3 linked regions of the Macaca mulatta genome follow. The protein of the gene in region 3 interacts with the protein of the main gene of each other region in a biochemical or structural test. Links are inferred from orthologs where the notes say so. Each region holds a gene or a part of one and is shown on either strand. Other genes may lie near its edges.

Region 1 (5,269 bases), about 24 Mb from region 3:
CACGTAACTTTAATCTAGTAAATTAAATTCCTCAAAACCAACCTGCTAAGAGGGCTACAATTTTAATCCCATCTTTTCCTATAGTGAAATATCTACTGTTTGTAACTTTTGTTGATAATGGTTACTTAGCTAGCATAAATAATTGAAATGTGAACACTAAGTGCTAGAAATGTCTTTGTGGTCATTTAAATGAACCGACTGACAATTGCATTTAATACTCTCATATTAGTTACGAGCAGAGAAGTACAGTGCAGAAGAAGCCTGGGCTCTAAGTGCCAGGTTTCTTAGACTCGAATCTCAGCCTCACCATATATTATGTGCAACCTTAGGAAATGTATTTAACCTCATTGTCTCTCATATGTAAAGTGGGGATAATAACAGTACCTACCTCTTATGTTTGTTTTGGGCCTCTCATGCATTAATACAGGTAAGTACTTTGAAAGATGGCATACGATAAATGTTGCTTGACAGTTTTTAAGCACTAAACTGTTACTCAATATCTTAAGGGCTTACAGGAAATTCTTGTCAAACAGCACTTGTAAACTGATGTGAAAGAAGAGCACAAAGTCTTCATTGTAAAAAACAAATAATGACATTAGAAATGTGTTCCCCCTTTAATAATGGGAGTCAGGAATCACTGCTATCATCCCTTTCATTCATTATACTGAAGACCCTATCCAGAGGTGCGGGAGGAAGTAGGAGGAAGGAGGAAAAGGAGAAGGCAGAAGAGAGTAAGGATTAGAAATGAATAAAGGAAACTATTAATATTTAGAGTTGATAAGATTCCCTACATAAAAAACTTATGAGAATCTTAACCCTTTCTAAACTCTCAGCTGAACTTGTACTTCTGGGCAAGATGGAATGACAGAGACCATTTACCCAACTAGTTGAAAAATTAAAAAGTAAATTGTTTTCAGAACAATAGATATCAGGTAGTGAGGGCCAATAATCCTTGAGAAATGGTAAAGAAACAAGGTGACCCTATAAATGCCCCAGCATACTTCCCTGAGAGAATTTTCAGATTATGCCACAGGCAAGGGTAATAACTGAGACAGAACCTGGCAGATCCCCTGAGGTAAGAAGACAACACTCAGAGTCCAGTGAGAAGGCAGCTAAAATCTGCAGGTAATAGTTAGCAGAATGGGGAAACAGTGCAGAAAAAGAACTCCTGAGATTTGTAAAGGGTCCATTGAGTATTCAACAGAGTATACATTAGTGTATATAGAGGAAACTACCCAAGGCAGGGGAGAGAACCATTTGAAATCACTAGAAAGAACACTTTTCATCACTTACACTGGGACAGGAACAGCACCTGTTACCAACAGCCAGCAAGGAATAATTTTCCATAGACTGAGCACCACCCTGGTTCCACCTAATCAATCTTAAAAGCAAGACATAAAAGGATCAAACTGTTTCCATGTAGTTTCATCATATTCCAGAATAAAGCTCAAGAAATTTTTAGTTATATAAAAATATCTAGCATCCAACAAGGTAAAATCCACAAGGCTTGAATGTAAACAAACATCACCAGCAATGCAAAGAAGCTTGAAATTATTTTTTTAAAAAAATCAATAAATTGAAACCAACCAACAATTGATGCAGATGTTAGAGTTACCAGACACGGACATTTAAAAAGTTATGACATAATCTATTCATTTACAAAGTTAAGTAGAGGCATGGAAAACTATAACAAAGACGCCCAAATTAAAATTTTAGAGATGTAAATAATAATATCTGAGCTTAAAAATACGCCAAATTGGATAAATGACATATTAAACTATGGAAAAGGAAAGATTAAAGAATTTGAAAACAATGGAAATAAGAATCATCCAAAATGAAACCGACAGAAAAGAATTTTTTTGAAGTATGAAGAATATCAGTGGACTGTTGAACAATGGCAAGCAACTTAATACACAGGTAATTAAAGTCCCCAAAGAAGATGAGAGGAGTATTAATACTTTTCACCCGGCAGATCCCCTGAGGTAAGGAGATGATTCTCGGGAGAGGAAGGCAGCTAAAATTCTTAGCCACTGTTTCTTCATATGTTACTATTAATTGTGGGTTTTGCCATTATTTTAGTGATAATTTTAACCCCCAAATCAAAAAATATCAACATATTTGGTGCAAAAGAAACATGAAGGAAACTACAAGGCTCATCACAATCAATCTGATTAAGAGATTTTTTTAAAAACTCTGGAAACAATGCAGGAAAAACAAAAAGACACATTAATAACAAAGAAACAAATAAACTAAATTAGTACAATCCCCAACTTATGATGGTTCAACTTATGCTCTTTCAACTTTACAATGGCGCAAAAGCGATATACATTCCATAAAAAATAAACTTTGAGCACCAATACAGCCATTCTGCTTTTCACTTTCAGCACAGTATTCAATAAGTTATATGAGCTATTCAACATTTTATTATAAAAGAAGCTCCGTGTTAGATGATTTTGCCCAACTGTAGGCTGATATTAAGTGTTCTGAGCATGTTTAAGGTAGGCTAAGCTAAGCTACAATGTTTGCTAGGATAAGTGTATTAAATGCATTTTCAACTTACAGTATTTTCAACTTAAACAGGTTTATCGGGATTTAATCCCATTGTAAATCAAGGAGCATCTGTATAACCTTCCCACAAGGAAATTTTAAAGAGTCAGATGACTTCGCTAGCAAATTCTACCAACATTTTAAAAAGAAATAATACCAGTACTACACAAACTTTTCCAGAAAATTAAAGAATAGCAAATACTTCCTAACTCATTCTATGAGGCCAGTATGGTCCTGATACAAAAACCAGACAAAGACATTACAAGAAAAGAAGTAACTTATACAACAAAAAATAAATAGATCAAAGTCCTAAATGGGAAAAATCAACTTTAAAGGTTTTAGAACATTTAGAAGAGCATTTTTATAACCTCCAAATCAGAGAAATATTTCTTAAAGATACAAAGATCAATCATAAATAAAAAGACTGGTAGATTTGATCAAAATTTATATCAAAATTCATCACCTCTGTACTACAAAAGAAACCGTTAAGGTAAAAAGACTAACTACGGACTGAGAGCAGATATTTGCAACACTAACAAGGAATCCATATCCAGAATATAAATGTAACTTCTACAAATCAATAAGAAAAAACAAAAAGTATCCATAGAACCATTGTTTTCAACTATAAAAAAAAAGGAAACAACCTAATATCCATTAACAAAAGAACACTGAAATAATTTTTTGAATACTCCACAAAGACGGGATGGACACCAGTTCAAAATTTGGTTTGAATGTCAACACCAATGATACCAAACAAACACACACCAACATTCATAAAAAAGCTGATTACTCACATAATGAGGTTTTCTGCAGAGAGCAGGGGTGGCTCTCAGACACATCCAAACATGGCTTTATAAAGCAAGGAGAGAACACTGGCTTGGGTTTTTATGGTGGTTGGGGGTGGGGCTGGGGTGAGGATTCTCACCTGTGGTTTGAACTTTACACTGGTGGTAAAGAACACTGCATCATGGCTTTCTTATCTTGCTCAGATGTGGGACAGAGGGAGAACAGGGAGAGATAAGACTTCAAAGCTGTCAGCAGTCAAACATTAAAAATGGAGTGAGACTTTTAATTATGATTTTATACGAGATTATAAATAGATGCATGAGTTTTATATTCATTAATGAGCCTGACAAATACCATGATGAACAATAAAAAAGCAGGTTTGTAGAAGAATGCATACATTTCTGCCATATAAATAATGTTCAAAAAAGCAAAATAATTTCATATATTTCAAGTGATATTTATATAAGTAGGAAAATCAAAAGAAATGCAAAGGAATGATAAATACTGAATTGAAGATAATGGCAACATGTAGAGAAAAAGGAGTAGGATGTGATTGGGGGTTCATAGAGGGGACTTCAATTGCATTGCGATTTTCTAAATGTATTGAGTTAGGCAATAAATGCAAAAGTGTTCATTGTTTTATTATTATTTACACTTTTCTGCATGTTTTAATATTTTGTAATTTTATAAAGTGGAAGTCAGCTTTTAATACATATAGTGCCCCTAGTTAAATATCTTTAAATATCCTGACTATGGTAAAGTCTCAAATCAAATAAATCTTAAATTACTTGGTGTTCTCCAGCTTCTGACAACCACAGAGAAAAAGTAGACACTTTACTAATATGAATAACACTAATAAATGAAATTTAATAAAACAAGTTTTCTCCTATATAGATTAAGAATCTTCAAACATAATTTAGTTACAAGTATTTAATTATTCAGATAAAAGTTACAAAATGGTTAGCATAAAAAGTAATGACAGATGAAACCCTGTAGTACTTAATGTAAAAAAACTGATTCAGCAACAGCACACTTACTGAGATTTTTTAAGAAATTAAAGGTACCTCACATTCGAGGAATATAGAAAAAAATTAAATGTATGTGTGTGGGGTGGGAGAGATTGGTTGACTGACTTATGGTATCAGAGAACAATTCCACTATTTTATTCCTGTAGAAAAAAAAAAAAAAAAAAACGACAAAAAACTAGCCGGGCGATGCGGCGGGCGCCTGTAGTCCCAGCTACTCGGGAGGCTGAGGCAGGAGAATGGTGTGAACCCGGGAGGCGGAGCTTGCAGTGAGCTGAGATCCGGCCACTGCACTCCAGCCTGGGCGACAGAGTGAGACTCCGTTTCAAAAAGAAAAAAAGAAAAAAAGAAAAACGAAATAAAGTAATTTCTACCACTTTTTACCTCCTGAAATCTAACCACAATATAACACCTTAGTTTAATAAACATCTCAAAGGATTCACATATGGGATTTGTCAACTCAAACTTTTATTCTTCTTCTACTTTCTTACTAACTTTCACGAATTAAATGTAGCCCCAAACTACCATTTATAAGAAAATTACATTCCAAAACAGTTTTCCATTTAAAAAAAGAAAATGTCGTAAATGGTAATTAGGTACTTACGTTGGACTACATAAGATTGTTTGACCTATGTTGGTGCTGAAATTTTCCAATACTGTTATAAAGACCACTAATAAAACAATGTGCTTTTATGAGAAATTAACAAAAGAGGGCTAACACTGAGACGCTAAGAACCTATCTTCCAGTGCTATATCCCTAGTAGTACTGCTGATTCTCCTACCCATCTCCCTGATATCCCATTTGGCTCCCAGTATGAGTAGAACTTCCTAGTAATTCCTGAAGAGTGAAGGCTTGCAGAAGTAGGGCTGCAGAGGTTTTAGCAGGTGAGGAAAAGAAAAGATAAGAAGAC
Region 2 (4,582 bases), on a different chromosome or scaffold from region 3:
CCTCTGGACATGGCGTAGACAGATGTTTTCAGACTTACAAACTGGCATCTCTTCTCCTCTATTTTGAGTAATGACAGTCTGCTGTCTAGGTAAGAGTGCTGCTAGAGGACACTGCTGATTTTCACAGTCATGGGGGTAGCCTGATTGGTGGACTGCTTGGTGACGTAAGTGAATACCTTAGCAAGAAACAGCATTGAAAAACCAGCCCAATTGTTGACAATAGCTTTTATTTAATTTTCCACTTTCCCCTTATATCTTGGTCACCGAACTTTTTTGACTCAAGGTAGACCATCCGCATCCTGTGGTAGGGACCTTTTGCAGAATTCTAGATGGCAGGAAGCTTTTATGAACCTAAGTCCAAATTTTAATTTGCAAGGAAACTGAAGCAGATGAATTTTCTCATTGTAAAAAAATGAATACCTTGATAATATATTTGTTTTTCGTAGTAGGCCTTTGTCATTAAGCTTGATGCCTGAGGATATAGTTGTATCTTGTGTGGAACAGTAAGTTATTACTCACTGCGTATCAGATTTTAGCATACTTGCATTAGTTCATGGAATATGATTTTACATTTACTATAGCAGTTCCAGTGCCATTATCAGATTGCATTTTCCTACTGAATTACAAACAAATGTGTTATGCTACTAACATTTAACAAAATTTTAATAAGGTTGTGTTTGATGCTATTATTCAGATAATGTGTTCTAAATTGCTTTCCTTTGAATATATTTGCATTAAAGAGGAACTCGATTTGGTTCTTTGAAGAGTTTATCCACTTTCTGGGTAGCTTTAAAAAGACACAGGGAAATTCAGTTTCTTCTTTGCAAGTCAATAAATAGAGAAGAAACAAATTTGCTAAGATCTATAGAAGTAATGGCAGCAGATTGCTGATGGTTTGAGTTAATGAAATGACTCATTTTGGCTACTTGAGTTGCACAATTAAAATATACATAGACTGCACACATCATAGATGAGGGATAAATACCCTTGTGTTCTCTTTTCTTTCTCAAAGCTAATATATTATGAATTAAGAAATTTAAGAGATCCACATTATTGCAATTCTTGATCAGTGATGCCCAAAATTAAGTGGTAATCTCTTGAGAGTGCACGTTTGCAGCATTCCTCTTACGCATTTCTGCTAAAATTGTGGCTGTGAGCCGAAGACAGTTGTTTTCCAAAGGATAAACTCATTTGACCAAGCTAAAACATTTACTTAATATTGACAAGTTTTGTGGGGTTTTCTCATAGTTGTCTAGCTAAAGGAGTTTAATGCAGAGAATACACATACGGAAATAGTGAAACCGAAGTCCTGCTTGCGCGGAAAGCCTGCAGCAGACTTTTGTTTTTAACAAACTCCACGGGGCATTAGAGAAAGTAACTGGGGGCAGTGGGTTGGAGGGTATAAAATTGAGCGGAGGGACGAAAACTAAGAGCCCTCTGGGTTTTTTATATCCTTCTACATGTTGTGTAGAAATAAATGCTTTTACTTCCACGGTCGTACCTTCCTCTTCACCTTTTTTTTTTCTTTCTCACACATTCATCCTGTGAGATCTTTTCATTTACAAATGCTCCCGATTTAGAATTAGAAACTCATAATACCGTCTGTAAAACTTGCCTGAGCCTGTCTGGTCCTGAATTTAGCGACACACTTGTTTAGGAGTTTCGGTTCTCGTTCTCTGCTTGCATGGTTTAGTAAGAACAACACTTCGATATACTGAAATTCACCGACCAGACCTGCAGGGCTGCACAGAAATATCTGATGCTTTTGGTACCCCCAGCCCCGCAGCCGCGCAGGCGCACCGCCCAGCCGCCGTGACGCAAGGCGCAGGCTTCATGACGCGGCACGCAGTCTCAGCCGACACTGCGCGCCCCTTCTGGGGCCCCGCCCAGGCAGCGGCCTTAGCGGGTCGCCGACCCACGATCCCAGCCGCGGCTGCTTGCTTGCCGGAGTGTGCACCGGTACGCGTCGCCGGTGACATGTTGCAAAAACCGAGGAACCGGGGTCGCTCTGGCGGCCAGGCCGAGAGGGACAGCGACTGGAGCCGTGGCGGAAACTCCGGGGCCTCGCGGGCGGGCGAACACGCCCGGGCCCGCAGAGACGGCTTCGCAGAGGAGGCCCCGAGCACTTCCCGGGGGCCGGGCGGCTCGCAGGGGTCGCAGGGCGCCCGCCGGTCCCAGGCCTCCCCCGCCGTGGGCCCCAGGACCCAGAAGCAGCAGGAGCTGAAAGTGTCCGAGCTGGTGCAGTTCTTACTGATTAAGGACCAGAAGAAGATTCCGATCAAGCGGGCCGACATACTGAAGCACGTCATCGGGGACTACAAGGACATCTTCCCCGACCTCCTCAAACGGGCCGCCGAGCGCCTCCAGTACGTCTTCGGTTATAAGCTGGTGGAACTTGAACCCAAGAGCAACACTTATATCCTCATCAACACCCTGGAGCCGGTGGAGGAGGATGCCGAGGTGAGGGGTGACCAAGGCACGCCCACTACGGGCCTCCTGATGATCGTCCTGGGGCTCATCTTTATGAAGGGCAACACCGTCAAGGAGACTGAAGTCTGGGACTTTCTGCGGCGCTTAGGGGTCTACCCCACCAAGAAGCATTTCATTTTCGGAGATCCAAAGAAACTCATTACCGAGGACTTTGTGCGACAACGTTACCTGGAATACCGGCGGATACCCCACACCGACCCCGTGGACTACGAGTTCCAGTGGGGCCCGCGAACCAACCTGGAAACCAGCAAGATGAAAGTTCTTAAGTTTGTGGCCAAAGTCCATAATCAAGACCCCAAGGACTGGCCAGCGCAGTACTGTGAGGCGTTGGCAGATGAGGAGAACAGGGCCAGACCTCAGCCCAGTGGCTCAGCCCCATCCTCTTGAAATCTGAGGTGGATTCAGAGGGACCCCCGGGACAAGGGTCTGAGACCCAAAGGCACAGTGCAGAGGAGCGGGGGAAGGGAGAACGAACCCAGGAAGCGTATTTCTGTAGCGTTTCAATGTGTGTAGCTTTAGGATGTGTTTGCAAAGTTTTGTTCTTTTAATGTTGTGTTATTTGGTTCCAGATTTTCATCTATAAACAAAAGAGCATTTGTTTTGCTTTGATTTTACTTTTTTTGGTATAAAAAATTTTCCTAGCTTAGTAAAACGAATTGGAAAACTTGACTATGATCTGAAACAGATATGCCAGAAGGAACACATAAGTAAGTTGCTTTGGTGCCAAGAAAATAAAAAAGTAGCTATTATCGGGTCTCTTAAGCATCCCAGTTTGTAAGGAAAAATAAAAGTCTTTATAAAATTAAAAATAAAAACGTAATTGCCTATATCCTTATTACCTTAACCTATTTTATTTTTTCTATATTTCCTACATATGTAAGTATTATTCATGGTTCCAAGCAATGAACGTGGTGTATTTTCTCCAAATAGCAATTGTTTATATTCATAATTACTCAGCTGTGTTGCTAAACATGCAGTTCCACTTAGTTTTTTTTACATGCTACTCTAGTTATTACAATAAATACTGTATTTTTGAAGCACTGAAGCATTGTGTGTGTTTTAAATCGTGGGCCATGAGACAATTTCATGACGAAATCAGCGTCTTAAAGTTTTTGCAACATATTGAGGTCAATGTTGTTTTGTAGAAGTTGTTTTACTTTTGTGTGTGTGTGTACAGGATCATGAGGTAAAATATATTTCTACTGTGGATACCAAAAAGGCTTATAAAACAATAGCGTAACCATTAACCATGCCTGCTTGGGAATCAGACTGCCTGGGTTCAGATCCTGGCCCCACCGTCACTAGTATAGGAATTTACGTAGGTTCCTTAGTTTGTATGCAGATGTTTCTTGACCTGTAAAATGGGTTTAGTCCCTGATGTGGAGGAATTTGCTTGTTATTCTTTAATGTTTTTATTTTTTATTCTCGGTCTGGAGCTGCCACTTTTTAAATACAACTTTTCTTTATCTTGTTTTCCAAATGATTCCTAGGAGAGCAATTACTGGTTCAAAAGGTATATTCCACTAGTCTGACTCTATTGTATGGGGAAATAAGTATAAAGTGTATGGTGAGTATAGCCCACATAGAACAGTGAGAGCAGGACATAAGATCAACCTCATAGGGAGTTAGGTATAGGGAAAAGGTGTGGGTCTTGGGGCTGTCTGGCAAACTGAATTTGAATTACGGCTCATGCTAACTTGTCAGCATGGTGATATGGTGGTAGGTTTTAAGCTGTCTGAATCTCAGTTTCTTTACCTGTAAAATGAAAAAAATTATAGCTATATAATAGTTTGTTTTATGGACTAGATGAACTAGAAGAGTTCATAGTCCCATTGTATTCCTCCATTACATGTAGCAGATGCTGTTTTTAATGCAGAGATTCAACACGTTTTATTCAGTGGGTAAATAAGTATAATTGTTTTAGGGGGAGGTGCTGCAAATTAACCTTGAAATAAGGCAGATATTTTTCACTCGGGGGGGGAAAAAGTGAACTTCATCAACACTGGACTGAATGTCATTTAAAAGAGTCTATAGTGAGTATGGAGGAATGTGATAGGTTGCTGGGTTTTATTTCATTCTGTTGAATTGGGAT
Region 3 (5,195 bases):
GTCTGAGTCTATTTTCTAGGCTGGATTGCAGTGGCGCAATCTTAGCTCACTGCAGCCTCAACCTCCTGGGCTCAAGTGATTCTCCCACCTCAGCCTCCCAAGTGGCTGGGACTATAAGCATGTGCCATTGTGCCAAGGAAATTTTTACATTTTTTTGCAGAGATGGGGTTTCACCATATTGTCCAGGCTGGTCTGAAACTCCTGGGCTCAAGCAATCCTCCTGCCTTGGTCTCCCAAAGTGCTGTGATTACAGGTGTCAGCCACCATGTCTGTACATGAGCCACCAAGCAACATGTTTAAGTAAATTTAAGCAATTTATTTGTTGAGGAGAATTAAAGTGGTTTGCATTATCTTGCTACACTCCTATTCACATATCTGTCTCCACTTGTGTGTCTCAATAGAACACACAACAGAGAAGTTGACTAGAAGTAGAATTGCTAGATGAAAATGTATCTCAAAAAAAAAAAAAGAAAGAAAATGTATCTCCATTTAAAAAATTGATAGCTTCAGATTTCTCGCCAATGAAGTTCAATTATTATTATCATTATTATTATCATCATTATTTTGAGACAGCATCTTGCTTGGTTGTCCAGGCTGGAGTGCAGTGGCGTGATCTCCACTCACTTCAGTCTCAACCTCCTGGGCTCACACAATCCTCCTGCCTCAGCCTCCTAAGTAGTTGGGACTACAGGCACACACCATCAGCTTGTCGTATCTTTCTGAGTGAATAAAACAACCTGTTTTGTTCTCTTTAGTGCTTTTTACTCTGAGTTCTCGATGTTTAGGATATTGATGTTGTTACGAGTTTCTTTCCTCCTTCCTTTTCTTTCTTTCTTTTTTTTTTTTTTTTTGCTTCTTTCTTTCCCTCATTCCCTCCCTCCCTTCCTTTTTTTCTGCTAGTATTTTACTGTCATATATATATTTTTTCTATTTCTGCTTTAGGTGAAACTCACAGAAATAGTATATAACTTGACTTTTAAAAACAAAATCCTCAAAATAAGAGTTTGGTTTTTATTAGGAGATGTTAACCCATAATGCATGCTGATATATTTAGATTCCTGCGTTTTTGTTTACTTTTTGCATCCTTTTTTTTGCACACCCCCAGCAACATTTCTTGACCTTTGTTCAGAATGAGTTTTTCTCTTTGTTCCACATATTATTACTTTAATGGTTTGAAAGTTATACATTCTATTTCTATTATGTTGCTACCCCTAAGATTTTTGTTCTCTTGTGCATTTTGTTTCCAGTAAGAACAAAACTTTGCTACTGTTGTGAACATAGGAAATGTTTACATTGGCTGTAAATATTAGAGTTCCATTATAAAGCGCAATTTAAAGACTTCAGAATTCAGTAAAATGGTATAAATCCAAAAGGCATAACTGTAATATGTTTTAACTGCAATGCAATACCAGAATATGAACCTGTGTTGTGTCTTATGATCTCTTGAATAGAGAAGCTTGGTTTTGTGATTAGCAGCAACAAATTCAACACTAAACAGCTTCAGTTTGCTTTAACAATAAGGTTAAAAAAATTTAAGCTTACTGCAACCCTAAATATAGTTTCACAGGTTTAATACTTTCGGTACAACCATAACACGTAACATAGGATGTGATGTAGTAACGTAATTACTCTCACATTGGACTTAATCAGAAAGAATTTGCAGATTTTATTTTATTAAAAAAAAAACACAGAAGGGAATATAGCTAAATATTTAACATTAGTTAAAGCTGGGTGTTCGTGACATTTTTCGCTGTCCTTTGCTGTATCCTTGACGATTTCATCATTTAAGATGAAATAATGCTTTCGGGCCCACCCTGATTTGTGGAGAGCAGCTGCCGCCCCCGCCACATCAAGGGGGCGGGCTCCAGCTGACTTCACAATCACTTCCGCCGCCGCAGTCGCCACCCGCCCCGCTGCTGTCTGGCGGGGGAGGAGCTCGAGACCGGGAGCAGCGGCTCTGGCGGTCGTGGCGGTCGGAGGTCCGAGAGCTCTGCTTCTCTGAAAAGCGTGTGGCTTTCTGGACTTGGTGAGTGAAAGGCTGATTGTTTCCTCGATTCATCCGGGCGCTGGCGGTGGCGCGAGTGGTCGGGCGCAGTGCGAGTGGCCGGGCACGGGGACGAGGATTTTGCGGGGTTCCTGGGAACTGCTTTTCAGGTTCGCCCCTCGGGAAGGGGTGGGGCGGACGCGGGACCTGACTGCAGAGTGAGGCCCATGTTCTACATCGGCCTGTTCTGGGGCCGCATCCTCCGCTGCCGGGAACCCCTTTCGTGTGGCGCGGTCCCCACTCGAGTGGCTTTCATCGCTATTGGGAGGGTAGTGGTGGTCGCGGCCCTCTCCCACTTCTCCCTGCCTCTCCTCCCCTCTCCTTCCTTCTTCCCTCCTCGGCCCCTTTGCGGAGCACTCCGTGGCCTTTCTTCCCATATTTTGCTGTTGTTTTGCCAAATGGTAAATGGTTAAGATTTTTAGGTAAAAATACTGTTCCCAGGGAAAAAATTGTAAGGAGGAAAAAATAATTATTCTCAGGGAAAACTAGACCCACGCACGCCCTTTTCTTTCATTTTGCCTCTTCCCTGCTACATCGGTTTGGGTCTCCCGTTTGAGCTGATGGCCTTTTCCCACCTCTTATTATGACATTGCGTACCCCCTACCCCACACCCCTCCGTGTCTCGCGAGCACGCGCCCCCGCAGAGAAGCTTTCCATTGCAGCCCCCTCCTTGCCCCTCCATCCTCAAGGTTCCAGTGCGTCTTCTCTCCCGCGCATGCGCAGGCACACGCAGCACACACCCTCTCACACACCCTCCACACACCCTCACACCCTCACACCCTCCCATGCCTTCCCCCTCCTCTATCCGCCTACCACATACACACCTCTAGCACCGGCCCCCTCCCTGTTCGGCCTCTGCGTGCTCTCGCGAACACATGCCTATTCACACACCCCCTCAGGCTGCTCTCCTTCTTCCTTCCTGTCATATACACACATAAGGACATCCTTCTATTGCTGGCCAGTGACATGCATATACAGCCACATGTGCTCATTCATACCCCCTCCTCAAATGCTCTCCTCTATTGATCTGCCACGTGTGTCAGACACAGCTCTTTCGCTGGTCCCTGAGGTGCACACACACACTCACATAAATCCTTCTATGGGGACACCACCTGCTTCCCTGCTTGCCATATCCACACAGGCAGGCATCGTTCTTTGATTGCCGGCCTCTGTTCCATCCACCTCAAGCGCATCCGTCTCCAGTGCTGCGCCACTCCCGACCCCCGCTTCCGTTTGTGCCTGCTGCATTTGCTCACACTGACATTTCTCCATTGTTGCCTCCCATTTTGACTAACATACGCACACACAAACTCTCAGACACTCCTCTCCATTGCCAACCATACACTCCCCTGCCTGTGACATACACATAAACATGGGCATCCTTCTGTAGTTTCAGCTGCCACACATACAGCGACACACATAAACACCTTCCCTTTCCTCATACATACACACACCCCTCTCCTCCAAAGCCACCCCACCCATGCCTGTCATTCTCATACCCACATCCAGAATCATTCTAACACTCATACCCTTTCCCCCTACAAACATAAACATCCCTCTGTTGCAGGATTGCTGGTCCCCTTCCACCTGTCCCTCTCCTCTTGATAGACACATAGGCACTTGTGCGCACACAGCGATCTGTATTTTCCACTCTATTCCAATTTGCATTTCTCCTGTATTTTGCAGCACTCAGAAAAAGGCAGGCACCCCATAAAAAGAAAACTACAGCAGTCTTTCCTTTCCCCACATTGGCACAATTCTACAGTACTTCACCCACCTTCCAAGTGTCCGGTCACCCCCCATCTTCCATCAGATTCTCCCCTAAGTCTGGCTTTCCTGCAAACCCAGTCTTGTAATCATTTTGCCAACATTAAAAAATGTGTTCCAGGTCTACACCTGTCACTGGAATGCTACTCCAGGCCTTAGAAGAAAGTGAAACTAAATTTAAAGGCCCCTTATTCTTTCAGTTACCTGCCTGCTGAAGTGAAAATAAATCTCCCTGCTCCTTTATTCTAAACTGATTTTACTTTCCCATCTGAAAAACGTGTGCAGGGAGCAGGAATCTTCCTGCCCCAGCCCCAGCTGTATTGAAAACCCTCCTAAGTCAGAGTGATGGGTCAGGAATCTAGCAAGCCTGTATGGCCCAATCCAACAGGAGGGTATCAGTCCAATACAGGTAGGAGGTATGGAAGAAGGCATGCTTATGTCAGTTTCAGGCCACCCACGAGCCAGCGGGAAAGGATTGCCAGCCAGAGAAAGACGAACTCCAAAGTCCCAATGCACAGATCAGCCTCCAGTCAAACCACCAAGAGGAGCCGATCGCCATTTTCCACTACTCGTCGTAGTTGGGACGACAGCGAGAGTTCGGGAACCAACCTAAATATTGATAATGAGGACTATTCCAGGTATCCGCCAAGAGAGTACAGAGCTTCGGGTAGCAGAAGAGGAATGACCTATGGACATATTGACTCTTATGGGGCAGATGATAGTGAGGAGGAGGGGGCTGGGCCTGTTGAGCGACCGCCAGCGAGAGGAAAAACTGGCAAGTTTAAAGATGATAAGCTGTATGACCCAGAGAAAGGGGCAAGGTCTTTGGCTGGGCCACCTCCACAGTTCTCTAGTTTTAGCCGTGATGTGAGAGAGGAGCGAGACAAGTTAGACCCAGTCCCTGCAGCAAGATGCTCAGCTAGCAGAGCTGACTTCCTGCCACAAAGTAGTGTGGCCTCACAGTCGTCTTCTGCTGAAGGCAAGGTGGCTACAAAAGGTGACAGCTTGGAGAGGGAGAAAAGGGAGCAAAATTTACCTGCATGTCCCAGCAGGGCTCCTGTGAGTATTTGTGGTGGTGGGGAAAACACCTCAAAGAGTGCAGAGGAACCTGTGGTCAGGCCCAAAATCAGAAACCTGGCAAGTCCAAACTGCGTGAAACCCAAAATTTTTTTTGATACTGATGATGATGATGATATGCCACACAGTACTTCCAGGTGGAGGGATACTGCCAATGACAATGAAGGCCACTCAGATGGCCCAGCAAGAAGAGGCAGAGGCGAGAGTTCAAGTGGCTATTCTGAGCCAAAGTACCCTGAAGACAAACGGGAAGTGAGGAGTGACCAAGTGAAACCAGAAAAGGTGCCGAGACGACGACACACCATGG

What was found.
Region 1: the proteins of PJA1 (region 3) and MAGED1 form a complex in vitro, tested with the Homo sapiens proteins (2 studies listed by BioGRID, with this or other methods). The link is inferred for Macaca mulatta from reciprocal best matches to the Homo sapiens genes PJA1 and MAGED1.
Region 2: the proteins of PJA1 (region 3) and NSMCE3 form a complex in vitro, tested with the Homo sapiens proteins (2 studies listed by BioGRID). The link is inferred for Macaca mulatta from reciprocal best matches to the Homo sapiens genes PJA1 and NSMCE3.

The regions. Positions count from the first base shown.
Region 1 is NC_133426.1:51,752,537-51,757,805, reverse strand, and holds the start of MAGED1 (melanoma-associated antigen D1), read right to left. Parts: upstream 3,398-5,269; 5' UTR 3,387-3,397; coding exon 3,342-3,386; intron 1-3,341. UniProt on the Homo sapiens protein: Involved in the apoptotic response after nerve growth factor (NGF) binding in neuronal cells. Inhibits cell cycle progression, and facilitates NGFR-mediated apoptosis. May act as a regulator of the function of DLX family members.
Region 2 is NC_133412.1:9,160,716-9,165,297, forward strand, and holds NSMCE3 (non-structural maintenance of chromosomes element 3 homolog), read left to right. Parts: upstream 1-1,883; 5' UTR 1,884-1,977; coding exon 1,978-2,877; 3' UTR 2,878-3,485; downstream 3,486-4,582. UniProt on the Homo sapiens protein: Component of the SMC5-SMC6 complex, a complex involved in repair of DNA double-strand breaks by homologous recombination. The complex may promote sister chromatid homologous recombination by recruiting the SMC1-SMC3 cohesin complex to double-strand breaks.
Region 3 is NC_133426.1:75,668,831-75,674,025, reverse strand, and holds the start of PJA1 (E3 ubiquitin-protein ligase Praja-1), read left to right. Parts: upstream 1-1,903; 5' UTR 1,904-2,026; intron 2,027-4,254; exon of another isoform or gene 4,255-4,260; 5' UTR 4,261-4,321; coding exon 4,322-5,195. UniProt on the Homo sapiens protein: Has E2-dependent E3 ubiquitin-protein ligase activity. Ubiquitinates MAGED1 antigen leading to its subsequent degradation by proteasome. May be involved in protein sorting.